4 linked regions of the Anolis sagrei genome follow. The protein of the gene in region 3 purifies or fractionates together with the protein of the main gene of each other region. This does not show direct contact. Links are inferred from orthologs where the notes say so. Each region holds a gene or a part of one and is shown on either strand. Other genes may lie near its edges.

Region 1 (7,535 bases), on a different chromosome or scaffold from region 3:
CTTTCTCCCACCGTGGACATTCCACAGATATTTAAACCTCACTTGTCTAGTTTCCAACAGACCTCATCACCTCTGAGAATTCTTCAGGAATACGGCAATACATTTTCTAATGTTACACCATTAAACTGTATTTCTGGCACGAAACGATGGCTCTTACTACACTGCCATATAAAATCCAGATAATCTGCTTTGATTATATGGCAGTGTAGACGATGCCATTGTTACCAGGTAATAACAGCCCACTTTTGTTCTTACCTTTGGGCAGTCTTCTCCAGCATAGCCAGCTCTCACAGTGTAAGACCCGATATCAAAGACCAGAGCTCCAACTTCATCTGCAAACACAAATATAGACTCTGGATAACTTTGATTAAACAAAAACAAAATCTTATGAGGCAAATAAGTTTATTTATTTATTATTTATTCAAAACTTTTATATCCCGATCTTCTCAACCTCCACAGAGGGACTCAGACCGGCTCACAATGCCACAACACAGTTTAAAACATCATACAACAGTAGATTAAAATACATATAAAGTAAAATACATATAAGCCAGTTCACCAAGGTAAAATCATGTCCAACTTAGTCCGCATATGTCAATAACTTTAGTCTGTTGCCGGTCTCAGCCATTATTCTGGGAAAGCTTCAATCCATAGCCAGGATTTCACTAGCTTCCTGAAGGTAAGGAGAGAGGGGGCAGATCTAATCTCATTTGGGAGAGAGTTCCATAGCCGAGGGGCCACCATGGAAAAGGCCCGGTCTCTCGTCCCCACCAGACACAATTGCAAAAGTGGTGGAACTGAGAGCAGAGCCCCTCTGGAAGATCTTAACAGCCTTGATGGTTCATAGGGGAGAATACGTTCGGACAGGTAAACTGGACCGAAACCGTATCTGGTTTTGTAGGTTAAAACCAGCACTTTGAATTGTGCTTGGAAGGTAATTGACAGCCTGTGGAGCTGGCGCAACAGAGGAGTTGTGTGCTCCCTGTACCCCGCTCCTGTCCGTAGCCTGGCTGCCGAGCGTTGGACTTATTGCAGTTTCCGGGCAGTCTTCAGAGGCAACCCGGAAGACTGCCCGGAAGCCTCAACTAGTCCAACGTTCAGTAGCCAGGTTGCTCACTGGGGCTGGGTACAGGCAGTGCACAACGCCCTTGTTACACCATCTCCACTGGCTGCCGAGTAGGATAGTCTTCCAGGCTCAGTATTCTGGTGGGTCCATAGGTGACTGTGGAGCCCAATTCTTGATCTGCATCTTCTCCCGCAGTGAGGGCATTGGTTTCCAGGTGGAAGGCGGTCTTGGTCGGGGTTGGCTTGACGCACCTTTCTCCTGGCACGTTTCTCTCTTTCGCCCCCCATTCCTGCCTCTTCAAATTCTGCAGCACTGCTGGTCACAGCTGACCTCCAGCTGGAGCGGTCAAGGGACAGGTCTTTCCAGTTCTCGGTGTCTATGCCACAGTTTTTAAGGTTGGCTTTGAGCCCATCTTTAAATCTCTTTTCCTGTCCATCAACGTTCCGTTTTCTATTCTTAAGTTCAGAGTACAGCAACTGCCTTGGGAGACGGTGGTCAGGCATCCAGACAACGTAGCCGGTCCAGCAGAGTTGATGGCAGAGGACCATCACTTCAATGCTGGTGGTCTTTGCTTCTTCCAGCACACTGACGTTTGTCTGCTTGTCTTCCCAGGAGTTGCATGTGACGTCTGTAGACAGTCCACGTCTCACAGGCATATAGCAGGGTTGGGAGGACAATAGCTTTATAGACAATCACCTTGGTATCCCTACGGATGTCCTGGTTCTCAAACACTCTCTGCTTCATTCGGGAAAATGCTGCACTCATAGAGCTCAGGTGGTGTTGTATTTCGGTGTCGATGTTGACTTTGGTGGAGAGGTGGCTGCCAAGGTAGCGGAAATGGTCAACATTTTCTAATGTTGCACCATTGTATCTCTGGCATTGGAGAGGGGATGGCTGGTGACTGCTAGAACAGCACTTTGGTTTTCTCGATGTTCAGTGACGGGCCAAGTTTCGTGTACGCTTCTGCAAAGGTATTTAGAGTGGCTTGTAGATCTTGGACCACCGTGGCCAAGTCAGACTTCCCAAGGTACGGGAAAAGCTCTCCTGGTCACCGCCGAAACCTGGTGTTCCAGGCTCAACGATGAATCCAGGATGACTCCCAAGCTGCAAACCTGCACCATCTGGGCGTCCCCTGGGCAACACCCTTGCAGACGGCCAATTCTCTCACACCAGAAGCGACTTGCAGTCTCTTGTGTCGCTCCTGACACGACAAAATAAAAGGGGGAGTGTAACCCTATGCCCTGTTTGGCCTTGCGTCTGACCAGGAGGACCTCTGTCTTGTCTGGATTGATGTTGAAAAGCCGCCTTGAGTCACCTTCGGATTCGAGAAAGGCGGGGTAGAAATATCATAAATAAATAAACAAATAAATAAGTAAGTTTATGGGCAAAATACATTGAAGTTACAGAGGCCTGGAAGACACAAGTCTCCTAACCACAACAAGTCTCCTAACAAGTCTCCAAACACAACAAAGTGACAATCCATCAAGGAGTGAGAGCTAGTTTGGAAGATGTCAGCAAAGCCATCAGCTTGTATTTCTGATCAGGCAGGCCTGGGCCAACTTGGGCCCTCCAGGGGTTTTGGACTACAACTCCCACAATTCCTAACAGCCTACCGGCTGTTAGGAATTGTGGGAGTTGTAGTCCAAAACCCCTGGAGGGCCCAAGTTGGCCCAGGCCTGGTCTAGCTGCAACTTCAGAGAGTCTAGCCTGCTTTCCACTCCAGAGTCATTCAAAGGAGAGTCCCCTTCCCTTCGGTCTTAAAGGCGCCGCAGCCCCGCCTGGCTTTCCCATCTCGCGCATGCGCCAAGCCCTCCGCTCACCTCCTCCGTAGACCCCGCCGCTCATGGCTGCAACCGAGGCTCCGCTCTGCTTCTCTTCACAGCGCGCGGCGGGATCCCTTTCTCCCGTTCTACCTCGCTAAGGCCCGCCTCCTCTCCCTCTCTCCACCAATCGGCAGCCCGCCGCTGTTCCAAAGCCCGCCTATCGCTGGAGGAGCCAACTGCAAAGGGCTCTCCTGATTGGCTTTCGTTTTGCCTAGTAGGTATCATAGGGTTTGTGTCCCTCCAATGGGAGGAGAAGATTCAAGTTTGGTTGCCTTGTAGTAGTTTTGGTGGGAAGATCAGCACAGAGGGAAAAGTCTAGTCAAGGGAGAGCATTGGATTTCTGCATGTTTTGCTTGGGAGTTTAATCTGTTTTATTTTTTATTTTAATTATTTTAATTTATTTTTATTAATATTTTTATTTAATTTATTAATTAATTAATTAATCTATCTATCTTCTATATCTATCTATATATATACAAAAGAACCAATGAATGAAATCACACCAAATTTGGCAACAAAACGTCTCACAACACAAGGAGTGACCATCACTCAAAAAATTATGATTTTGTCATTTGGGAGTTGTAGTTGCTGGGATTTATAGTTCACCTACAATCAAAGAGCATTCTGAACTCCACCAACAATGGAATTGAACCAAACTTGGTACACAGAACTCCCATGACCAACAGAAAATATTGGAAGGGTTTGCTGGACATTGACCTTGAGTTTGGGAGTTGTAGTTCACCTACATCCATAGAGCACTGTGGACTCAAACAATGATGGATCTGGACCAAACTCTACAAGAATACTCAATATAACCAAATGTGAACACTGGTGGAGTTTGGGGAAAACAGAATCTTGACATTTGGGAGTTGTAGTTGCTGGGATTTATAGTTCATCTACAATCACAGTGCCTTCTGAATCCCACCAACAATAGAATTGGGCCAAACCGCCCACACAGAACCCCCATGTGGGCCACAGCAACGCATGGCAGGGGATGGCTAGTATATATATATATATATATATATATATATATATATATATATATATATATACATACATACATACACTAGCCAAGCCCTATGAGAAGCGGCTTAAGGAGCTGGGCATGTTTAGCCTGAAGAAGAGAAGGCTGAGAGGAGATATGATAGCCATGTATAAATATGTGAGAGGAAGCCACAGGGAGGAGGGAGCAAGCTTGTTTCCTGCTTCCTTGGAGACTAGGACGCAACGGAACAATGGCTTCAAACTACAAGAGAGGAGATTCAATCTGAAAATGAGGAAGAACTTCCTGACTGTGAGAGCTGTTCAGCAGTGGAACTCTCTGCCCTGGAGTGTAGTAGAGGCTCCTTCTTTGGAAGCTTTTAATCATAGGCTGGATGGCCATTTGTCGGGGGTGATTTGAATGCAATATTCCTGCTTCTTGGCAGAGGGTTGGACCGGATGGCCCATGAGGTCTCTTCCAAGTCTTTGATTCTAAGTGCAGCCTTGCATAAAATACCTTTCTTGATTATCCAATACTGTATGATCAACTTTTTGATTCTATGATTATATATATATATATATAGGATCCAAGTTCATACATATCTCATGTGATATACAGTGATGATAATGGAACAGGGCCCAACAACATAGTAAAATGTTGACCTTTCTGTAAAATGGCAAAATCAAAGGTTGCTCTTCAGAGAGAGAGAGAGAGAGAGAGAGAGAGAAATGTATATGGGACCCAAATTTAAACACACACACACGTATATCCTATGATATACAATGATGATTATTATATTATATTATATTATATTATATTATATTATATTATATTATATTATATTATATTATATTATATTATATTATATTATATTATATTATATAGAATGCGAGGATATGGAGGTCTGGCTGTCTTTGCATTTGTGAATATCACTGGAGTCACTCCTCATCCAGTACTTCCGCCCCCAGCCAGCAGGGGCCGCTGTTCTGCCGTCCTTGTTCCTACTGTGGCACCAAGCCAGCCAAGCGGAAGTGACGAGAGGAGGCTTCCGTTTCTTGGCAGCCACACGCCGTGTGAGGCAGAGGCGGCCCCTTTTCCTGCTGCGGAGGCGCCATGGCGGCGGTAACAGAAGGCTCTTCCGCGGCGAAGGCGAAAGCCAAGGCCAGACAGGCGGCCCCGCTCCTTTCCTTGGACCTGGACCGACAGCAAGAGTTCCAGGCTGAGGTGCAGCGCGTGCGGAAAGGCAAGGTGAGAGAGAAGGAGGGGGAAGCGCCACCAGAGTCTCTTAGGGTGCCGCTGCACTGCGCATGCGCAGGTGTTTGGGACTCCCAACTCCTACAATTCCTAACAGCCGGTAGTTGGAGTCCAGAACACCTAAAGGGCCCAAGTTGACCCAAACCCATGTACAGTTTAGCAGCTATTAGGGGTAGGTAAGGTAAAGGTATTGTATTTTGTCTGTTTGCTTTGTTCTGTTAGAAATGTAATATAATTGACTGGTTGATCTGACACGACAAATAAATAGGTAAAGGCAAAGGTTTCCCCTGACATTATAGTGTCTGACTCTTGGGGTTTGTGCTCATCTCCATTTCTAAGCTGAAGAGCCGGCGTCGTCCGTAGACACCTCCAAGGTCATGCGGCCAGCATGACTGCATGGAGTGCCATTGCCTTCCCACTGAAATGCTACCTATTGATCTGCTATAGAATCAAAGAGTTGGAAGAGACCTCATGGGCCATCCAGTCCAACCCCCTGCCAAGAAGCAGGAATATTGCATTCAAAGCACCCCTGACAGATGGCCATCCAGCCTCTGTTTAAAAGCTTCCAAAGAAGGAGCCTCCACCACACTCCGGGGCAGAGAGTTCCACTGCTGAACAGCTCTCACAGTCAGGAAGTTCTTCCTCATGTTCAGATGGAATCTCCTCTCGTAGTTTGAAGCCATTGTTTCACGTCCTAGTGTCCAAGGATGCAGAAAACAAGCTTGCTCCCTCATCCCTGTGACTTCTTCTCACGTATTTATACATTATTATCATGTCTCATCTCAGCCTTCTCTTCTTCAGGCTAAACATGCCCAGCTCTTTAAGCTGCTCCTCATAGGGCTTGTTCTTCAGACCCTTGATCATTTTAGTCGCCCTCCTCTGGACACATCCCAGTTTGTCAATATCTCTCTTGAATTGTGGTGCAATTTGCATCTTTTTGAACTGCTAGCTTGGCAAAAGCTGGGGCTAACAGCAGAAGCTCACCCGCATTCAAACTGCCAACCTTTTGGTCAGCAAGTTCAGCAGCTTGGCGGTTTAATCTGCTGCACCACCAGGGGGGCCCAGATATTAGGGGTGCTATGCTGATTATTGGAAGGCTGTTGTTGTTCATTCGTTACGTTGTTTCTGACTCTTCGTGACTTCATGGACCAGTCCATGCCAGAGCTCCCTGTCGGTCGTCACCACCCCCAGCTCATTCAAGGTCAGTCCAGTCACTTCAAGGATACCATCCATCCATCTTGCCCTTGGTCGACCCCTCTTCCTTTTTCCTTCCATTTCCCCCAGCATAATTCATTGGAAGGATAAACAGATATATTTATGTGTTAGCCCTGTCCTTATTAGTCCTCTTGAATTCGTTTTCATACATTAATATATTTTTTTCCACATCTCATTGACTTGCCCACATTAAGAGCCGTGGCTCATGAGAGTTGTAGTTTGGCAAGGCACCAGCAATCTTTAGCAGATTAAATAATAATAATAATACCACAAATACCATTTGCCTGCAACAAAGAACTGGTGGAATCATAATCTGGAAAAAAGTTACAGAAAATGAACATGTCAAACTACTCTGGAACTTCCAAATTCAGACAGACAGAGTTTTGGAGCACAATACTTCTGACCTCACGATCATGTTAAAAAACAAAGTACGGATTGTCGATGTGACAGCAGGATTGAAGAGAAACAACTGGAAAAACTGACACGATATGAGGATTTAAAGATCGAACTGCAAAGACTCTGGTACAAACCAGTAAAGGTGGTTCCAGTGGTGATTGGCACACTGGGTGCAGTGCCTAAAGACCTTGGCATGCATTTAAACACAATCGACACTGACAAAATTACCATCTGCTAGCTGCAGAATGTCACCTTACTGGGATCTGCACACATTATTCGCCAATATATCACACAATCCTAGACACTTGGGAAGTGTCCGATGTGTGATCCAATACAACAGCCAGCAGAGTGATCTTGTCTGCTGTGAGCTCATCTTGTTGTGTTTCAAATAATAATAATAATAATAATAAAACTCTTATCTCCCCAAGGGGATTCAGGACAGATTCCAACAAACAAAAAGGCAAAATTTCAGTGCCTTCACATGACCATAAATTCAAATACAAGTACAGGGTTAGTCAAAATGAATAGGCCAATTCGGGTACAATTAATTTTCTTATTGGCCTATTCATTTTGACTAACCCTGTACAATAACAGCCTGACCAAGTCCCAAGTGAACCAATATCTACAGTCAAATTAAACTTAGCTATCAAGTAACTCAACTCGACACAAAAAAAAATTGACATAGAAATCAATTTACAGAAACCAAAAATCATTTGAAATAGAATTAAAAGAGTATTACATAACTAATGATACCAACAAGCCAACAGCACCTGCAAGCCAGAGCAGCAATAGTAATTTT
Region 2 (7,459 bases), about 24 Mb from region 3:
TTAAAACAGTGGATGTGGCTCTTAATGAGACATGCCGCATTATCACAGGATGCCTATATCCTACGCCATTGAAAAAATTATTCTGTTTGGTCGGTACTGCACCATCTGATATGTATCGAGAAGTAGCAGCCAGTAAAGAAAGGACCAAGGCATTGACATCTCCAGCCCACCCTCTGTTTGGATATCAGCCAGCATTCCAACGTCTTAAATCAGAAAATACTTTTCTAAGATCTACAGAGATAGTCGCAAGAACATCTTGGCAAACACGAGTCCAAAAGTGGCAGGCTAAAACTTGAAACATCAAACAGTGGCTGACACAGGATCAGAAACTCCCTTCTGGGTACACAGAAGACTAGGCGACTAGGAAGACACTGAACAGACTGCGCTCTGACACCACGAGATGCAGAGCCAATCTTAAGAAATTGGGCCACAAAGTGGAGTCAACGACATGAGAGTGTGGAGAAGAGCAAACCACATATCACTTAACTACAATGCAGGCTGAGCCCTGTCACATGCACAATAGAGGACCTTCTTTCAGTGACACCAGAGGCACAGAAATTTTTGCATTATGCCAAGTTTTTAACTTTGTTTGTGTTTATTTTAAACTACCATCCCTTGCCACGCGTTGCTATGGCCCAGTCTATATATATGTTCTTTGTGTGTGTATATGTGTATATATTTGTTTGCGTATATATATGTCGTTCTGCACATGCGTTGTAATGAATTTTTTTATTTTTTGGCTTTTAAGATTCTTCTGCTTTGTTTTTCAGTGTTTTTATGAGTGATGGTCACTCGTTGGCCTGATAAGGGTATTGTGTCCGAATTTGGTGTCAATTCGTCCAGTGGTTTTTGAGTTATGTTAATCTCACAAACGAACATTACATTTTTATTTATATAGATTCATTATAATACACAGGACTGTATTCAGTGCTGTGCCAGCAGGACTGAAGACCGACAGGTCGCAGGTTCGAATCCGGGGAGAGGCGGATGAGCTCCCTCTATCAGCTCCAGCTCCTCATGCGGGGACATGAGAGAAGCCTCCCACAAGGATGATAAAAACATCAAATCATCCGGGCGTCCCCTGGGCAATGTCCTAGCAGACGGCCAATTCTCTCACACCAGAAGCAACTTGCAGTTTCTCAAGTCGCTCCTGACACAACAAAAATAAATAAATAAATAAAAATCCAGGCATCCCCTGGGCAACATCTTTGCAGATGACCAATTCTCTCACACCAGAAGCGACTTGCAGTTTCTCAAGTTGCTCCTGACAGGACAAAAAAATTATAATTGTTTTCTTAATTCACTTCTGACACGATAAATCAAATGTTAATTGAAGACCTGTAGCAAAATGTCCTGCAGGATGTCCTGCAAAAAAAACATATTTTTTTTTGCAATTTCATAAACTTTTTTCATGTTTTTAATGATAGATCTAGGGAAGTAATGCTACCCCTCTATTCTGCTTTGGTTAGACCACACCTGGAATACTGTGTCCAATTCTGGGCACCACAATTCAAGAGAGACATTCACAAGCTGGAATGTGTCCAGAGGAGGGCGACTAAAATGATCAAGGATCTGGAGAACAAGCCCTATGAGGAGCGGCTTAAGGAGCTGGGCATGTTTAACCTGAAGAAGAGAAGGCTGAGGGGAGATATGATAGCCATGTATAAATATGTGAGAGGAAGCCACAGGGAGGAGGGAGCAAGCTTGTTTCATAGAATCATAGAATCATAGAATCAAAGAGTTGGAAGAGACCTCATGGGCCATCCAGTCCAACCCCCTGCCAAGAAGCAGGAATATTGCATTCAAATCTCCCCTGACAGATGGCCATCCAGCCTCTGTTAAAGAGCTTCCAAAGAAGGAGCCTCCACCACACTCCGGGGCAGAGAGTTCCACTGCTGAACGGCTCTCACAGTCAGGAAGTTCTTCCTCGTGTTCAGATGGAATCTCCTCTCTTGTAGTTTGAAGCCATTGTTCCGTGTCCTAGTCTCCAAGGAAGCAGAAAACAAACTTGCTCCCTCCTCCCTGTGGCTTCCTCTCACATATTTATACATGGCTATCATATCCCCTCTCAGCCTTCTCTTCTTCAGGCTAAACATGCCCAGCTCTTTAAGCCGCTTGTTCTCCAGACCTTTTATCATTTTAGTTGCTCTCCTGTTTTCTGCTTCCCTGGAGACTAGGACAAGGAACAATGGCTTCAAACTACAAGAAAGGAGATTCCATCTGAACATGAGGAAGAACTTCCTGACTGTGAGAGCCGTTCAGCAGTGGAACTCTCTGCCCTGGAGTGTGGTGGAGGCTCCTTCTTTGGAAGCTTTTAAACAGAGGCTGGATGGCCATCTGTCAAGGGTGATTTGAATGCAAAATTCCTGCTTCTTGGCAGAATGGGGTTGGACTGGATGGCCCATGAGGTCTCTTCCAACTCTTTGATTCTATAGAACCAATTAGGAAATGATGGAAATAACCCAGGAACAATAATCGTGTTACATAGTGTGAAGTGGATTCAGAAACTGGATTTGACAGCAGTGTAGACAGCGCCTCTGCCATGGAAGCCCACCAGGCGGGTCACACACTCTCTCAGCCTCAGAGAAGGCAAAGCAAACAACTTCTGGGCAAATCAACAAAACAAAACCAAACAAGAGATGGGGAAAAAACATTCAAAGGCACACAACAGCAGCTTGCTTTGAAAGCCAAACCTTTCCTGGCCCAGACACGTGTCTAAAAGCCATGCCTTCCTCGTGTGTGCTGCTCCCCGACACTCCCTCCTCCAGAAGCCACCTACTTGGAAGGGGACTCCGTGCGCCATGGGCCGGAATGGGGTGGCCCCGGGGCTGGGCCCTCCTCGCAAAAGCACACCGCCTCCGGGCCCCGGGGGAAGAGGGACGCCTGCTGAGGCCGAGAGCGCCATGGAAGGCAGCCTCTCGGGCGGCGAGGCCATGGGGAAGTTCCCGCCGCGCCCGGCCATCGGAGGAGAAGCAAGAGACGAGTCCTTCCTCAATCGGAGGCAACCGCCGTCTGAGGGGAGAGAAGAGGAAGCGGCTTCGATTGACTGACGAGGCGAACGGCTCCCTCAGCCAATCGGAGGCCCCGGCAGCGGCAGGCCCCTCCCCCCAGGACCGCCCTCTCCGTCAACCGCCAAGAGAGCGGGAAAGGAGGCGGGGGGACTGAGAGAGGGAAAGGGAGGGAAGCGAGGCCAATGAGCGCCTGACGAGGCCCAGCGCCAAAGAAGCGCCTCAGAGAGGCACGCGGCCCAGTCACGAGGGCAAACACACACACACACTCTCCCTCTGACTGGAATGTTTATGTCCAATCCATAGTTGTCTCTCATACATATATACATACATTCACACACACATATATCTAGCGTTACAAATACAAAAAACAATGCCCAGTATATATATATATAATAATCTATCGAAACCCAACCTTGCCACCAAAGTAGGAAAGAAACCAATAGCCAGGCAACCAGATATTGAGAACAACAACCTTCAAGAACCTTTTACATCTACTGTGCTGGTACAACTGCACCAGGAGCTCCAATTTTGTTTGTTTTGCATTGAATGTTTGTTGCAGTCCTAAGTTTCAGGGACTCTGCAGATACGTGGCTTCTTTTGGCTGCAATCATAGGGCAAGCCACCTGTCAATTATAGTTAGGTTCCCTGGTCCTGTCCCCCTTTTGGGTTTTTGGAGGGAATAGGAGCCTTTTTGGGTCAGTCCACACAGCGAAGCCTTTCGCACATGACATAAAACCAAGAGCTCCTGTAGAAAGTAGGGCTGGGTGGTTTCGTTTCGTTAATTCGTAATTCGTTAAAAAATCGTTATTTTTTTTATAACGAAGCAATAACGAACCATTCTGGAGCAACTTTAAAACGAAACGAATTTTTAAATTTGTTTCGTAATTGTTTCAGATTCGTTATGTATTCGTTTCGTTATCGTTTTGAAGTCGTTTCGTTATTATTTCCGCATGTCTGGGGCAAGTTTTATAGTTGTTTTTTGTTTAATTAGTTAAAAAAAATTATAATATCACACCAACAGTCAACAACAGAGGGAGAGGGAAGCTTCAGAAGTTCCCCCTGTCCCATTTGGAGGTTTTTTAGCGTATTTCGCGGTCGCGTCCGCCATTAACGAATTGATTCGTTATTGTTTCGAAATCGATTCGTTATTGTTTCGTAATTTTTTTAACATTTACGAAATTTCGTAAATATCGAACTTTTTAAAAGAAAAATTTCGGAATTCTTTTTAAAACCAAAACGCAAAAACCCCCAAAAAACTAATCGATTTTAGAAACAAATTTTTCCGTTGTTACCCAGGCCTAGTAGAAAGCTTTGTCTTCTACGGCTTGGCCGGAGAGATATACAGCCTACAGCTTGGCCAGGGTTATACAGCCCACAGCTTGGCCAAGGATCAGATAGCCTTACAGCTCCTTTGCTGAAGGACTTCAGTCAGCCATCACTGAAACCTGAACTCCTTTTTCCCTGGAAGTCTACAAAGCTCTGCTTGGTAAGGGTCGCTCGTGGAAGCCAGACGCAGTTGGTACCGGGTGCAGGGGCTCCACGCCAACAGAGGCAAAGACAGACTGCCCAGATTAGAAGTTAAGGATTTCCCCATTAGTTAGTTACAGTTAAGAAGATAGTGACTGTTCCCAGTGGACAAGAGTCAATAGACTATTAAGAAAGCCTTGAAGTACCTGTTTGTTTTCAATAATAAAGAACTTTGTTGAACCTTTAAGCAATCTAAAGACTCTGTCTGGGGAAATTCAAGGGTCTTTAATCTGAGGCAGCCCCAGCGTCCCGTTGGGCACACAGAATTTGTGTCCTGTCTACAGTCTTATGCACAGGCCCAGCATGCGACAGCACATCTACTGAATTGGACATGGCTCCCAATAAATGTAAAAATGGCAAAGCAGCTGGCCTGGATGATCTATGGATGGAACAAATCAAGAACTTTGGTCCAAAAGCAAGGCGCTGGCTGCTGGAACAGATGAACAATTGCACTGCATCCTGTCAGATCCCCAAAATCTGGAGGAAAGCAAGAGTCATTGCCATCTTGAAGCCAGGCAAAGGCCGTAATGATCCAAATAGCTATAGATTAATCTCCCTGTTGTGCCACCTCTACAAAGTTCTGGAGAGACTTATTTTGCATAGAATTACGGAAAAAATAGACCAATGTCTGATCCCACAGCAAGCTGGCTTCAAGAAAGGCAAAAGCTGCACATCGCAAGTGCTGAACCTGACTCAGCGCATAGAAGATGGCTTTGAAAGGCAGCAGATCACAGGAGCTGTCTTCATAGACCTGTCAGTGGCTTATGGTATTGTAAACCACCGCCTCCTCCTGAGAAAGATGTATAATATCACAAAGGACTACCATCTCACCCGCCTCATAGGAAACCTGATACAAAACAGGAGCTTCTTTGTTGAGTTCCAGGGCCAGAGAAGCAGATGGCGGAAAGAGAAGAATGGCCTGCCTCAGGGGAGTGTGCTTGCTCCATCCATGTTCAACATTTACACAAAAGACGAGCCACTGCCAGAAGGGACAGAGAGTTTCATCTATGCTGATGATCGTGCCATTACTGCTCAAGCAGGGAGCTTTGAGATGGTTGAACAGAAGCTCTCCGAAGCTCTAGGTAATCTTACTGCCTATTACAGGGAAAACCAGCTGATTCCTAACCCATCTAAAACACAGACATGTGCTTTTCACCTTAAGAACAGACAAGCATCCCGAGCTCTGAGGATTACCTGGGAAGGAATCCCACTGGAGCATTGCAGCACACCCAAATATCTGGGCGTCACTCTGGACCATGCTCTGACCTATAAGAAGCACTGCCTGAATATCAAGCAAAAGTGGGTGCTAAGAACAATATCATATGAAAACTGACTGGCACAACCTGGGGATCACAACCAGACACAGTGAAGACATCTGCCCTTGCGCTATGCTACTCTGCTGCTGAGTATGCATGCCCAGTGTGGAACACATCTCACCACACTAAAACAGTAGATGTGGCTCTTAATGAGACATGCCGCATTATCACAGGGTGTCTGCGCCCTACACCACTGGAGAAATTACACTGCTTAGCCGTTATTGCACCACCTGACATCCGCCGGGAAGTAGCAACCAATAGTGAAATGACCAAGGCAGTGACATCTCCAGCTCATCACCTGTTTGGGTATCAAGAAATAGTTTTCTTAGATCTACAGAGACACTCGCTGGAACACCTCAGCAAGTGAGAGTCCAAAAGTGGCAGGATCAAACTTAGAACCTCAATCAATGACTGATACCAAATGAGAGACTCCTCCCTGGGCACACAGAAAACTGGGCAACTTGGAAAGCACTGAACAAACTGTGCTCTGGCACCACGAGATGCAGAGCCAACCTTAAGAAATGGGGTTACAAAGTGGAATCCACGACATGCGAGTGTGGAGAAGAGCAAACCACAGACCACCTGCTGCAATGCAACCTGAGCCCTGCCACATGCACAATGGAGAACCTTCTTGCAGCAACACCAGAGGCACTCCAAGTGGCCAGCTACTGGTCAAAGGACATTTAATCAACTACTAAGCTTGCAAACTTTGTGTTTTGTTTGTCTGTTTGTTTTTTTGTTTGTTAAAAAATGCAATGCAGCTGTTTGGTCTGCTCCTGACATGATAGATAAATAAATAAATAAATTTATCGATGATTTCGGACAGATGGCAAGCTATTTAACCTCAGTAGAATGAAAGCCAGAACCAAGGTTACAACATTTGTTATAGAACTCCAATATGTTGATGACAACATCATCTGTGCGCATTCAGAAGAAGGTCTACAAGCCACTCTTAACACCTTTGCGGAAGCATATGAGAAGCTTCGCCTGTCAATGAACATCGAGAAAACCAAAGTGCTCTTCCAGCAGTCACCAGCCAATTGCTCTCCAATGCCAGAAATACAGCTTAATGGTGTAACATTAGAAAATGTTGACCATTTCTGCCAGGCATGTAGCCGGGGGGAGGGGGGGGGGCTCGAGGGGCTTAACCCCCCCCCCCCCCCCCCGAAATTCTCATGGTGGTTCGTGAAAAGGCCTTACTGGTGCATTGTTTAAACTGTTATGTTTATTCATATCATGATCTGATCACCATGCTCAATATATCCCATATGCATGGGGGTACTGGGGTAACGATACAAAAGGTTTGCTAGGCTAGACCCTCTTTCACTCAGACTCAGCCCCCCCCCCCCCCGAAACAAACTCAGACCCCCCCCCCCCAATCGAAATCCTGGCTACGGGCCTGATTTCCTCTACCATGGCAGCCACATCTCCACAAAAGTCAACATTGACACTGAAATACAGCACCGCCTGAGCTCTGCGAGTGCAGCTTTTTTCCAAATGAAGCAGAGAGTGTTTGAGGACCGGGACATCCGTAGGGATACCAAGGTGCTTGTTTATAAAGCTATTGTCCTCCCAATCCTGCTATATGCCTGTGAGATGCGGACT
Region 3 (6,970 bases):
AAACATGGTCAAAGCCAGGTCTTTAATTGTGCGTGGAAGGTTTGGAGGGTGGGGGGCAGCCTGTTGTTGTTGTTGTTGCCCTGCTTTCCTTTCTTATACTGGCAGGGTTGAACTAGAAGATTTTTGTGTGTGTGTCAGAAACAACTTGAGAAACTTCAAGTCACTTCTGGTGTGAGAGAATTGACTGTCTGCAAAGACCTTGCCCAGGGTACGGCTGGATGTTTTGATGTTTTCCCATCCTTGTGGGAAGCTTCTCTCATGTCCCTGCATGGGGAGCTGGAGCTGACAGAGGGAGCTCATCCGCACTCTTCCCAGATTCGAACCTCTGACCTGTCAGTCTTCAGTCCTGTTGGCACAACCCATTAACCCATTGCATCACCAGGGACTCCTAGATGATATCTTCTAACTCCATGATTCTAGGACAATGGAAGGGCGCTTCTTCCTACAGAGTACTTAGGCAACCTAATTATCCCAAAACATAGGAAGGTGTTCTCTTTGGCTAAATTCAATGTACTCCCTTCTGCTGTACTGGAGGAAAGAGATAACAAAGTACCATACGATGAATGCCTATGTCCCTCTGAGGCTGAGGCAACAGAAACTATGGATCACATTTTGTTGTACTGCTCTTTTTACCGAGACCTTCGTTAACATTTTATAAATCCTATTTTAGAAAGTTTATCAGGGAGATATGTAAAGTTTTATGTTGATTATCTTTTGGCTGACCAACACCCCAAATTACTGCTAAAGTTGCTAGCTTTTGTGCAGCAGCAATAGCTTGTCGTCACAAGATGCTGTCACACTCTTAGAAGGTTTTAATATTTACTCCAGTTTTTACCATTGTCATTTTGGCATATACGTGTTTAATACCGTTTTAACTTTCATATTCAATACTGGGTTCTAACTTTGTTTTTGACATTGTTTCTTAATGCCTAAATGTATATGTTCTTATTCTGATGTATGTACATTTATTGGTGCTGGTCATTGACCGTAAATAAATGTATATACAGTTTGAGTATCGTTCATCTGTAATTTTGAAATTGCAGATATTCCAAAACCGTTCTTAATGTTTTATGCCCAACACTAGCCATCCCCTGCCACGTGTTGCTGTGGCCTAGCCCGGTGAACTGGAAAATAAAGTAATGAGAAAGTGTTGGCTTCTAATATATGTAATTTCTTTATGCTTGTGGATAAACATTACTTCTTGTTTTTTTGGTCAATATTGATGTAGAGATTGTCTGGTTTGCCTACTCTGGAACATGGAACATATTATTGTCCTTCATTAGGAGTCCCTTTCAAATCTATATTATATCTGTCATATGTGTGTGTGAATCATATATATCTATCTATATCTATGGCTGGATGGCTCTTTGTCAGGCTTTGATTATGTTTTCTTGCCCTGGTGAAGGCAGTTGGGCTGGATGGCCTTAAGGCAGCATTTCTCAACCTGGGGGTTGGGACCACTGGGGGAGGGGATCACAGGGGGGTGCCAGAAGGGTTGCCAAAGACCACCAGAAAATACAGTGTGGTCATGGGGGTTCTGTGTGGGAAGTTTGGTACAATTCTATAGTTGGTGGAGTTCAGAATGCTCTTTGATTGTAGGTGAACTATAAATCCCAGCTACTACAGCTCCCAAATGCCATGCTCTGTTTTTCACAAACTTCACCAGTGTTCACATTTGGGTATATTGAGTATTCATGTCAAGTTTGGTCAAGATCCATTATTGTTTGAGTCCAGAGTGCCAGGTTTGGTTCAGTTCCATTGGTGAGGTTCAGAATGCTCTTTGATTATAGGTGAACTGTAAATCCCAGCAACTACAACTCTCAAATTACAAAGGTGTCTTGTGTTCAAATTTGGTGTCAATTCGTCCAGTGGTTTTTGATTTATGTTAACCCCACAAACAAACATTACATTTTTATTTATATAGACTAGCTGTCCCCTGCCACGCGTTGCTGTGGCCCAGTCTGTGTATATGTGTTTTGTGTGTGTATATATTTGTGAATATATGTGTCTTTGCATTTATATATGTGGCTTTGTACATGCATTATAATGTATATATTTTTGTTTTGTTTTGGGCTTTTAAAGTCTCTTCTGCTGTGTTTTTCAGTGTTTTATGAGTGATGGTCACTTGTCAGCCTGAGAGGCGTATTGTGTCCAAATTTGGTGTCAATTCATTCAGTGGTTTTGGAGTTATGTTAATCCCACAAACGAACATTACATTTTTGGGTTGTTGTATGCTTTTTCAGGCTGTATGGCCATGTTCTAGAGGCATTCTCTCCTCACGTTTCGCCTGCATCTATGGCAAGCATCCTCAGAGGTAGTGAGGGGTGTTGTTGATATTTGCCATAGATGCAGGCGAAACGTCAGGAGATAATGCCTCTAGAACAGTGTTTCTCAACCTGGGGGTTGGGACCCCTGAGGGGGTCGTGAGGGGGTGTCAGAGGGGTCGCCAAAGACCATAAGAAAACACAGTATTTTCTGATGGTCATGGGGATTCAATGTGGGAAGTTTGAGCCAATTCTATCGTTGGTGGAGTTCAGAATGTTCTTTGATTGTAATGAACTGTAAATCCCAGCAACTACAACTCCCAAATGTCAAGATCTATTTTCCCCAGACTCAACTAGTGATCACATTTGGGCATATTGAGTATTCATGCCAAGTTTGGTCCAGATCTACCATTGCATGAGTCCACAGTGCTCTCTGGATATAGGTGAACTACAACTTCCAAACTCAAGGTCAATGCCCATCAAACCCTTCCAGTGTTTTCCATTTGTCAGGGGAACCAAGTTTGGTTCAAATCCATCACTGATGGAGTTCAGAATGCTCTTTGATTATAAGTGAACCATAAATCCCAGCAACTACAACTCCCAAATTACAAAATCAATCCTCCCCCAACCCCACTAGCATTCACATTTGGGTGTATTGGGTGTTTGGTACAGGGAATGAAAATGCATCCTGCATATCAGATATTTACATTATGATTTATGACTGTTATGAAGTAGCAATGAAAACAATATTATGGTTGGGGGCAGGCATGTAGCCGGGGGGGGGGGGCTTGAGGGGCTTCAGCCCCCCCCCCCGAAATTCTCATGGTGGTTCGCGAAAAGGCCTTACTGGTGCATTATTTAAACTTATGTTTATTCATATCATGATCTGATCACCATACTCAATATATCCCATATGCATGGGGGTATTGGGGCAACATTACAAAAGGTTTGCTAGGCTAGACCCTCTTTCACTCAGACTCAGCCCCCCCCCGAAACTCAGCCCCCCCAAAACTCCCCCTTAAATTTTTTTAGCCCCCCCCCCCAAAACGAAATCCTGGCTACGGGCCTGGTTGGGGGTCACCACAACATGAGGGACTGTATTAAGGGGTCGCGGCATTAGGAAGGTTGAGAACCACTGCTCTAGAACATGGCCATATAGCCCAAAAAAACCTACAACAACGCAGTGATTCTGGCCGTGAAAGCCTTCGACAATACATTTTTATTTATATAGATTATGAAAAGTCATATGTATAGACCTTTGGGTGATGCATATAAAGTCTCTATGAAACATAAATGAGTTCTACGTTGAGACTTGGGTCCCATCCCTAAGCTATCTCATTATGTAACTGCAAGAATGCCAAAATCCAAAATGCAGGACTCATCTGTTCCCAAGCATTTCGGACAAGGGATGCTCAACCTGTAATCAAATGATAGACATCTTTTCAAAACCTCACTGTACGGTCTCTTCCTAAAACCTGCAGCCCTAAAGATCTCCTATAGCACTGTCGCTTAGAGTACAAGGGAATGGTGTTGAGTCACCAGATGTGTATCTGCAAATGTGTTATTTGTTTCTTCTTTTTTCTCTTTCTTATCTGCATCTCCACCTGCAGGATGCAATCCTAAAAAGAGTCAAGTCAGGAGACTTTTCTGGCTTCTCCTAGTCAGCAGATGGCGCTCCTTTAGTTACAAATCTCTATTGGAAAGAGACAGAAAAAAACCACAGAAAGAACTATATTATTTTCTTCCGATGGTGAACTGCCTTTTTTCCGTTCTCTCTTTTTTTTGTCTTCCCCTTTTTGTGTGTGTGTGTGTGTGTGCAAAGGCTGGACAGGAAAAGAAGACAAAAGAGGAGGAAGTCCAGACCGGCAGAAGCTCAAGAGGAAGAGAGATGTGCAGGAGAAGGCTTGAATAAAAAAGAAGAAGAAGAGAGAAAGAGAGAAAAGGAGGGGGGAGAGAAAAGGAGAAATTGTTGACACATCATTGACAGAGGAGGACCGCTTGATGGAGAAGCTGTGGCGAGATAGATGGAGGACCGAGTGACGCAGATGCTTTCCAGCACTGTGATTCCTGCAGTGAGCAAAAACAGGTAGAGAGGAGGGAGAGGAACAGGTAGAAAGAAAGAAAAAGATAGATAGAAAGAAAAGAGAAACAGCAAGGGAAGTGTGAGATGGGATAAAGGGAATGGACAAGCATCAACACAAGATTGCCAAGTAAATAAATACAGAGTCTTGTCATCTTCTCCGAATCCAGCTGGAATACCATCACACTCCAAAAGTTGGACCAAAAGAAAAAGAAGAAAGAGTAAAGAAAGAGTGAAATGGGATAAAGGGAACGGGCAAGCTTAAGCCAAAGGTTGCGATCCAGCTTGGAAGCCAAGATTCTTATTATCTACCCCACATCCACCTCTGACATCAACACAACCCCAAAAGTTGGACCCCGATGTCGGGACGGGCGGTTCGAGCAGAGACGCGGAGCCGGGCGAAAGATGACATCAAGAAAGTGATGGCAGCCATCGAACATGTCCGGAGATGGTGAGGCCCAAGGCTTGATTATAGTATTTGTTGACAGTGGTCCAACTTTGGCCAGAAATGTAGTTAAATGTATTGTCGAAGGCTTTCATGGCCAGAATCATTGGTTTGTTGCAGGTTTTTTCGGGCTATATGCCTGCATCTATGGCGAGCATCCTCAGAGGTAGTGAGGATACCTCTGAGGATGCTTGCCTCACTACCTCTGAGGATGCTTGTCATAGATGCAGGCGAAACGTCAGGAGAGAATGCCTCTCAACCATGGCCATATAGCCCAGAAAAACCTACAACAACCCTGTAGTTAAATGGGTTGTCTTAAGTTTTTCGGGCTGTATGGCTATGTTCTAGAAGCATTCTCTCCTGCCGTTTCGCCTGCATCTGTGGCAGGCATCCTCAGAGGTTGTGAGGTCTGTTGGAAGCTAGGAAAATGGGGTTTATATATCTGTGGAAGGTCCAGGGTGCTTCAGAGCACTTGATGAACATAATGCCTGCCACAGATGCAGGCAAAACGTCAGGAGACAATGCTTCTAGAACATAGCCATACAGCTCGAAAAAAATTACAACAACCCAGTGATTCCTGCCATGAAAGCCTTTGACAATACAAATGTGGTTAACGTAGGCAAACCTATCTATTTTTGGTCAGTCATCAGATCACTGCAGTAAGTGTTTTATTGGGACTTCACAGGGACCTGGCAACCTTATATTATTTCTGTGTTGTGGGTACATTGTTGGACCTCCAAACCAAGCTTCCAAGGTGTGGGGCACAGGATTAATTTAATGTGTCTTTATTATTGTTTGCCATGCCCCTATCTACACTGCCATGTAATGCAGTATGAAATTACATTATATCAGGTATGGGCAAACTTTGGCCTTCCAGGTGTTTTGGACTTCAACTCCCACAATTCCTAACAGCCGGAGTTGAAGTCCAAAACACCTGGAGGGCTGAAGTTTACCCATGCCTGCTTTGTATGGTTAGCGTAGACTCATATAATGCAGTTCAGTGCAGTTAAACTGCATTCTAGAGTGGGCTGGATCCAAATTTAATTTGTATTTCCCCCCCTAAGGAACTGGTTACAGTTTAGAAAAGTTACTCTTAAAATTATACCTCCTAGAACTGTCATTATGCCAGCCAACAGGGAAAACATGCATGCTGCCTGATTGGGAAGGAGTTCTAGGAACTATAGTCCAAAAAAAGAGCAACTTGCAAGCTTTGTATTAAACGACTATGACTAAACTGCAGTGGTGCAACATATCTGATGCAACCACATTATTCTTTCTCTAAGGAGAGGTAAATACCCGTTTTTAGATGGGTTGTGAGTTCTTCGGTGTATGCAGTTTGTGCAGGTGGTCGTTATTGTTGTTAGTATAATATTTATTTATACCTCACTATCCTCTAATTCAGTGTTTCTCAACCTGGGGGTCAGGACTCCTGGGGGGGTCGCAAAGGGGTGTCTGAGGGGTCACCTCGCAACCAATTTTCTGTAGGTCATGGATTTCTATGTGGGATGTTAGGCCCAGTTCTATTGTTGATGGAGTTCAGAATGCTCTTTGATTGTAGGTGAACTATAAATCCCAGCAACTACAACTCCCAAATGTCAATTCCCCAAACTCCACCAGTATTCACATTTGGGCATATTGAGTATCCAAGCCAAGTTTGGTCCAGATCAATCATTGTTTGAGTCTGCAGTGCTCTCTGGATGTAGGTGAACTACAGCTCCAAAGCTCAAGGCCAATGCTCACTGAACCCTTCCAGGATTTTCTCTTGGTCGTGGGAGTTCTGTGTGCCAGGTTGGTTCAATTCCATCGTTGGTAGAGTTCAGAGTGTAGGTGAACTATATATCCCAGCAACTACAACTCCCAAATGACAAAATCATCCCCCTCCCCCAACCCCAGCAGAATTCAAATTTGGCCGTATTGGGTATTTGTGCCAAATTTCGTCCAGTGAATGAATACATTCTGCATATCAGAGATTTACATTACGATTCATAACAGTAGCAAAATTATAGTTACGAAGTAGCAATAAAAATAATTTTATGGTTGGGGGGCACCACAACATGAGGAACTATATTAAGGGGTCGCGGCATTAGGACGGTTGAGAACCACTGCCCTAAAAGCACCAGATTCCATCTATCGAAAGCCTAGCAGGGTCAGTTCTGGCTAGTATTTGGATGGGAGAGCATC
Region 4 (7,173 bases), on a different chromosome or scaffold from region 3:
GAGGTCCAAATTTGACTGACAGATCCAGATAGAGTGGACTCACTGAAGTTATGAGATCTACACGTATGTTGACTCACTACTGAAAAAAAAAAAGAATCCACGCGCCTAATTTGATTGGGACAATTACCAGGGCTCATACTGCCTCAACCTCTCATTTTGTAGCTTCTGTCACCCCATCTTCCAACTTTAAGATCATGTTACTGAAACACTAGTATAAGGTATTTTTAAAGACACATCTGAAAAGAAATCTGTAACTGGCCTTCCCCAACTTGGTGTATTATACTACATTTTCCGTCATCCTATTCCAATATAGTTGGGCAATGGGAGTTGTAGTCCCCCACCCCTAGAGGAGAAAAAGCGCTTCTTACTTGTGATTACGATTCTGCACGGACTGCTGCTGCACTTGTTGGATCTGCTGAGGGGCTGGCCTCTTGCGAGACTGGTCCATCCCTGACTGAGCCATCCCTGGTCGGACTGAAGGGCTCCCGCCATACCCCGGAGGCCCCATTGCAGGTCCCTGGGGGTTCATGCGGCTGCCAGGCAGCATCCCGGGACGCTGGGAAAGGAGGAAAAACAGCCCTGTGATTACCAGTGTTCAGTCAGGAAAAGCACTGGTTACTCAACAGCAAAACACCTTGGGTTCATCTACAGTGTAGAACTCATGCAGTTTGACATCACTTTTAACTGCCATGGCGCCATACTATGGGATCTTGGGAGTTGTAATTTTAAAGGGTCCTTTGCCTTCTCTGCCAAAGAGTGATGATGTCTCATCAAACTAAAACTCCCACAACTCCAAAGTATGGAACCAAAGTGGTGCTAAACTGCATTCATTCTTCTGCAATAGTTTTATCCTTAGTTGCAAAGAACATTTATTACAACTGGTTTATACAAGAAGCTGGCTCACAGTCCTTTCTGGAATATCTAAATCTGTTCCTATAGGTTATTTTCTCCCTCCTTTCCAAAAATGTAACATTTCCCAGAAAGTTCTCTTTTCTCTTAGGCTGGAATGCTTAAGGGGATGAGGGGGAAAAGGAAAGGGCCTGGGCTGGTTAGGAATTGCAGAAGTTGAAGTCCAAAACACCTGGAAGGGTTCAAGTTTGCCCATGCCTAGAGACTCACTATACAAGGTGCGTGCTTTTGGACAGAGTGGGGAGGGGATTGTAGCCCTTTGCACAGAGTCAGAGATCCCACCCCCCCAGACAGCTTTCAAGCCCTCAGGACTGATTTCTCTCTTCACTCCCCCCCCCCCCCACCCCAAATAAGCAGCACCAATGACAGGCCCTCTCAGTCTATGCTAGGTCTCTTCAAACTGTGGCCCTCCAGTTATTTGGGCTTTCAGGTCCCAGAAGCCCATGCCAGCTTGTTCAATGGTCAGGAATTCTGGGAGACGGAGGCCCAAACAGCTGGAGGTTGAGAGTGTTTGGCCTATGCCCAGCCATTGCATGCTGTTCCTCCATGTAAAGAAAAGTCATTACCTTCCCAACAGTTAAGCATCCAGCCATGCAACTCTTACTTGACATGCAAAGTAATGAAAAAATACTTATCATTTAGCCTTACTAACTGCATAAGCCAGCCTTTAGCTTCAATATCTTTTCAGCACCTCTGGGTCCAGAAACCTGAACCCTCGCCCATTATTATTGTATGACTATGGAGCAGAACAGACAACTCCGCATCTGTATGCTTGGTCCACTATGCCTTGCCTCACGTACAAAGGAAGAACTGTTGGAGGCTACAGACAATGCCATTGCTGTTGCCCGTTTTTGGTCAAAAGATACTTAGCCGCCTGCACTCCTTCTATTTTTATTAGTTTATACTAATTCAAGCAATGCTTTTGATACAAAATAAATAAATAGTACTAAATCATAGAATCCTAGCATCATACAGTTGGCCATCTGTCAGGGGTGCTTTATACAATTTTCCTGCTTCTTGGTAGGGGGTTGGACTAGATGGCCCATGAGGTCTCTTCCAACACTAGGATTCTATGGATTTGCAAGGGCCCTCCACTTCAACCCCATTTTTCCATGCAGGAGCACACAATCAAAGCTCTCCCGACAGATAGTCTGCTTAAAAACCTCCGGAGAAGGAACCTTAATAATAATATTTATTTATTTATATCCTGCTTTTTCTCTCATAAAGAGACTCAAAGCGCCCTCCCCCACAGGCTAAAAAACAACACAATAAACAACATAAACTTGAAAGAAAATTAAATGTAGAATGGTTTAAAATAGATAAATTCAAATCCTAATAAAATACCCCAGCTCACTAGCAAGGACATAACTATAATTTTATGCCTCTGATTTCATGCTGAGACATTGTTCTCCTTTTGTTTCCTTGTTAAAAAAGGAAAACACACTCAGGCGGAGGGAGATGCTACAAAGGCAGTGAAATCGAAGAGAGGCAAGCCACAAAAGGCCCTCTGGCCCAGCCCCGCCCTGCCTCCCCTCCCCCTCTCCCTCCCCCCTTGAAGCCCCGTGTCCCTTGGATCCCCCGCCATTCCCCCTTTCGAGGGCGTCATGCTCACCCCGGAGTCTCTCCCCACTCGCCCTTGCAGCCTCACCCCCATATTGCCCTCTCTTTCAAGAGAGCCTACTATCCCCCAAATCCCCCCTGAAAGGATGGCGCCCTCTTCTCCGCCTCCATCTTTCTGGAATGGCTCCCCTCCTCCCTCTCCCTCCCTCTAGGCCTGCCAGGCCCCGCCCACTGCAGTGCGGCTCCCTCCGCCGACGTCATCGCCCGCCAAGCCCCGCCCCCTCCTGGCCCCGCCCCTTCTCGCCTCCTCTCTTTCCCCTCCCAAGCCCGGCCGGGTCGGTACCGGGTAGGCGGCGCCGGGCAACGGCGAGCGGTACATCCCTTGCCCCGGGGCCGGGCCCATCCGCACCGGAGGCCCCCCCGCGGCGCCAGGCCCTAAAGGCCCCGCTCCAGGCCCGGCTCCGCCGCCGCCACCGCTCGGAGCGACCGCCTGGAAGCCCGCCCGCGCCGCCATCTTCCCTCCCTGGGCAGTACAAAGCGCGGAGGGGAGGCGGATGTCGGCTCAGGAGATGGAGCGCCGCTGCACCATGGAGACGCCGCCCGCGGGCGGGTAGAGCGCCGCCGGCTGGGGAGAGAGAGAGGCGCAGAGGAGCGCCCCGCGGGACTCCCCCTGCTGGACGGCGGCCTGCCATTGCAGCCTGCGTCAGGAGCGCCCTTCTCTGTTCGTATGGGGAAAGGCCATTCCATGCTAATCAAGTGGCCAATTGCAACATTCACACTTGCCTCAAACAAGCCAAAAGTTGTCGAAGGCTTTCATGGCCAGAATCACTGAGTTGTTGTAGGTTTTTTCGGGCTGTATAGCCATGGTCTAGAGGCATTCTCTCCTGACGTTTCGCCTGCATCTATGGCAAGCATCCTCAGAGGTAGTGAAACCTCACTACCTCTGAGGATGCTTGCCGTAGATGCAGGCGAAACGTCAGGAGAGAATGCCTCTAGACCAGGGGTCCTCAAACTAAGGCCTGGGGGCCGGATACGGCCCTCCAAGGTCATTTATCCGGCCCTCACTCAGGATCAAACTAAGTGTGAAACGACTTGAAACCACACAACGACAACAACAACAACAACAATCCTATCTCATCAGCCAATAAGTTTATATTTGTTCAAATTGTTCTTCATTTTAATTACAGTATTGTTTTAAGTGGGTTTTTTTGCACTACAAATAAGATACATGCAGTGTGCATAGGAATTCATTCATGTTTTTTTTTTTTCCAAATTATAATCCGGCCCTCCAACAGTTTGAGGGACTGTGACCTGGCCCTCTGTTTAAAAAGTTTGAGGACCCCTGCTATAGACCATGGCCATACAACCCGAAAAAACCTACAACAACCCAAGACGAGTTCTTTCTCCCACTCGGAATGTTCCACAGATATATAAACCCCACTTGCCTAGATTCCAACACATGCCACAACTTCTGAAGATGCCAGCCATAGATGCAGACGAAACATCAGGAGAGAATGCTTCTGGAACATGGCCATACAGCCCAGAAAACTCACAGAAACCCAGGCCATTTATTGTTGTCAGCCAAAAAAGCTACTGGGCCTTGCTAAACTATAAGCTAGGTCATTCTGCAAAATATTGCCATTACCATTAAAGTGGAACAATAGCCATTTAAGAGTGGAGTGTGATAAGGCCCTTATTACTTTGGAACTGTATTATATAAGTGCAGACTCGTGTATTTTGAACTGTACTAGGCTGCATTAATATGAGCCTACACTGGCCATATGTAATGTAATAATAATAGTAATAATAATTGTATTTCCTATCTGCCTTCCCACAGCCTTCCCACAGCACAGTTAACAATTATAAAAATTCTACAAACATATTAAAATTAATTTCCATAAAAGATACAAATCAAAGCATTTCTGTAAAATACACATTAATCACACAAGATATGATATGAGTTAAATAAACCATGCGTGAAGACTAGTTTTAAACTGCATTATATGGCCTTGACTGAAAAGGACGCCCTGTTGACGTGGATGGGTCTGGTCTAAGGAGCACATTATAAGGCTTGATTCAGAGAGGATTAGGTAGCCCAATCCTAATGTAATTTCCCTTTTTGTTGTGTACTTTCAAGTTATTTCTGACTTACGTTAACCTGAATGTTAACTTATTTTAGCTGGTCTCTAGAGTCACTCAAACCACGACTCCAAGCTTTTAACTTAATTTATTTATTTTTTGTGTGTTTACTTGAAATTGAGAGCAATTTAAAACGGTCATGGATGAGACCCTGCCATGGATACTGGAACCTGAAGGCACAGATACCGGCTCTGTTAAGCAGCAGCTGGTACCAGTCGACAACCATTTCACGAGTCCGAGCGCCTGGTGAGCTAAATTGGAGATGGAGCCACCAAAGTATTTTATTCAATCAGCTGGTTGAGATCTCAACCCGCAGTATCCCACCAAAGTAAGCTGAGATACAGACATAGTAAAAGTAAGCATTTTATACAGTACAGATTCAAAATTCCCACTGCCCGCAACTGGACCCAGATTGGCTGTGATTGGCCAAACTCCGATGATGTCAGAGGAGTCTCTCTGCAGAGGTGTGACTGCGGTGTTCACTGGTCATGGGAGAACTTTCCTTGCCTCGGATATAGATGTAGTGCTCTCCAATGGCTGAAGAGGGGCTGAACGGAAACTTTACACAACAGCAACATAGTAACAAGTTGGAAAAATCGAATGGGATTAAGGTATCGCTGAGTATTTTATTGTTTTGCAAATGGTCCTGTGAATTTCTGACTTTGTGGGGTGATGACTCCGCACCAATGTCCTTTGTTGTCCAACAAAAAAATATTGCTTTGGGTGATTGGATCATTGATTCGTGCCTGGGAAAACAGAAGTGACATGTAGGAAAACAAGACAGCGAACTTCTCCCCATTGAGAACATGTCATGTCTATGTGGAGTCCCCGGTGGCACAGTGGGTTAAACCCTTGTGCCGGCAGGACTGAAGACCGACAGGTTGCAGGTTCGAATCTGGGGAGAGCGCGGATGAGCTATCAGCTCCAGTTCCTTATGCGAGGACATGAGAGAAGCCTCCCACAAGGATGGTCAAACATCAAAAACATCTGGGCATCCCCTGGGCAACGTCCTTGCAGATGGCCAATTCTCTCACACCAGAAGCAACTTGCAGTTTTTCAAGTCGCTCCTCACACAAGATCTGTCTCTCTCTCTCTCGTGGTAAATGTCTATAGAAGTCCAAGTGGCTACATAGTTTACAGATGGCCCTGCTCCAATATCTCTTGTTCCATGTAGCCTGGGTACCGTTCACAATTGCTGGGTGATTACATCCAAGGTTATCAAGTTGTAGCTCAGGGAGTGGCTTGGAGGTGTCCCTGAGCGAAGACGTGCTGGCTTGAAAGGTCACCATGGTGGCTGGTTCTCCAAGTTTTATATAATACAAAGCATAAAGAAATTAAACATATACACACAAAGGGGAATCCCAAGGACTGTGGGGGACCTGACCCACAGAGACCCACTATCCAGGGGACATAGGGACACATGCACGAGGGGCTACATGAGGTTAACAAAGGGAGTCAATCTCCCTGGGCATCCATTGGGGAAAACAGGTGAAATAATAGGAAGGAAAAGATAAACATATACATGAGGGTTCTGTGAAGGCAAAGGTATCTAGACATTAGACAAGCTGACCCCCCCCCCCAGGGAAACATATGCAAATGAACCCATGGGTGAAGAGGGAGATCATCTGAATCTCCGTATCCACAGGGGGTTGGGTTGACATAGGTGATGGGATAGGGGATTCAGTGCAAGGAAGGGGATTATGAGGTAGGTTAATTGAGAGAGGAAAGTTATATAGATCTGCGGATAAGTGAATGTCTACAATACCAGTAAAATGCAAAAAGAGGCAAAATAGGGCTTGGGAGCCTGCTGGGGCTCCCAGAGTGGTTAGGAGGTGGCAATGGTTGTTTATGAGGGGCTATTTGGAGGATGAGGCTATGAATGGGCCCTGTCCTGGGGCTCTGGGGGGTCTGGGCCATGTGGCCCGGGCCATTGTTGGCACAGCTGAAGAATGCAGAAGTGATGCTTTAAAAAAAGTTTAAACCTTAATGGGATTAGGAGGTATTCTCTGGGCGCTGGTATATGCTGCTGGATTTCTCCAGACCTTCGGATTTTTGCATAATTCATTCTGATAAAAATAAAAGCCATGTTAACCTGCGGAACACTCTGCCATGCCACCAAGTTCATATAATTTGGTGGTTGATTGGAGGGAGGGGGGGTATTTGTGCTTGACATCATACTCATGATATGAGAAGGGAGCACCCTGCTAAGATAACTTGTTCAGTTATAGATCCATGATTGCTTGCATTCAGGCACCAGCCTTCTCATGAAGGTTGTGGTTATCCATACCACTCGCTATGGTGGCTGTGTATTGCCCCCAGGATCAGAGGGAATAGGTCTCTGCTGTATCTCTCTTTCTGGGAGGCATGAAGGGAGTGCGGCATTGTGCTCTTGTCCTGATGGGTCTCTCACCTTGGCTTAGCAGGCCAATCAAACTGATCACTGCTGGGCTACATAGGCAGGCTGCTGGGCTACATAGGCTTCCCATTGTTCTTCATTGGCCCATGCCTTTCAGCCAGAAATTTTGCCTAGAATTAGGTCAACTGGTCATTACTATGGATGGTACA

The links. The genes of interacting proteins can lie anywhere in the genome.
Region 1: the proteins of BCL7C (region 3) and ACTL6A purify together in Homo sapiens (affinity purification with mass spectrometry; 3 studies listed by BioGRID and IntAct, counting the BioPlex papers as one, with this or other methods). This does not show direct contact. The link is inferred for Anolis sagrei from reciprocal best matches to the Homo sapiens genes BCL7C and ACTL6A.
Region 2: the proteins of BCL7C (region 3) and SMARCD2 purify together in Homo sapiens (affinity purification with mass spectrometry; 3 studies listed by BioGRID and IntAct, counting the BioPlex papers as one, with this or other methods). This does not show direct contact. The link is inferred for Anolis sagrei from reciprocal best matches to the Homo sapiens genes BCL7C and SMARCD2.
Region 4: the proteins of BCL7C (region 3) and SMARCD1 purify together in Homo sapiens (affinity purification with mass spectrometry; 5 studies listed by BioGRID and IntAct, counting the BioPlex papers as one, with this or other methods). This does not show direct contact. The link is inferred for Anolis sagrei from reciprocal best matches to the Homo sapiens genes BCL7C and SMARCD1.

Annotation. Positions count from the first base shown.
Region 1 is NC_090023.1:257,608,906-257,616,440, reverse strand, and holds the start of ACTL6A (actin-like protein 6A), read right to left. Parts: upstream 3,009-7,535; 5' UTR 2,912-3,008; coding exon 2,887-2,911; intron 333-2,886; coding exon 256-332; intron 1-255. Other genes in the region: NIFK (MKI67 FHA domain-interacting nucleolar phosphoprotein), read left to right, coding at 4,985-5,119.
Region 2 is NC_090026.1:37,945,196-37,952,654, forward strand, and holds the start of SMARCD2 (SWI/SNF-related matrix-associated actin-dependent regulator of chromatin subfamily D member 2), read right to left. Parts: upstream 3,009-7,459; 5' UTR 2,963-3,008; coding exon 2,780-2,962; intron 1-2,779. UniProt on the Homo sapiens protein: Involved in transcriptional activation and repression of select genes by chromatin remodeling (alteration of DNA-nucleosome topology).
Region 3 is NC_090026.1:14,296,292-14,303,261, reverse strand, and holds the start of BCL7C (B-cell CLL/lymphoma 7 protein family member C), read left to right. Parts: upstream 1-3,948; 5' UTR 3,949-4,703; coding exon 4,704-4,795; intron 4,796-6,970. UniProt on the Homo sapiens protein: May play an anti-apoptotic role.
Region 4 is NC_090022.1:140,190,844-140,198,016, reverse strand, and holds the start of SMARCD1 (SWI/SNF-related matrix-associated actin-dependent regulator of chromatin subfamily D member 1), read right to left. Parts: upstream 3,009-7,173; 5' UTR 2,984-3,008; coding exon 2,813-2,983; intron 2,678-2,812; exon of another isoform or gene 2,564-2,677; coding exon of another isoform or gene 2,522-2,563; intron 557-2,521; coding exon 369-556; intron 1-368. UniProt on the Homo sapiens protein: Involved in transcriptional activation and repression of select genes by chromatin remodeling (alteration of DNA-nucleosome topology).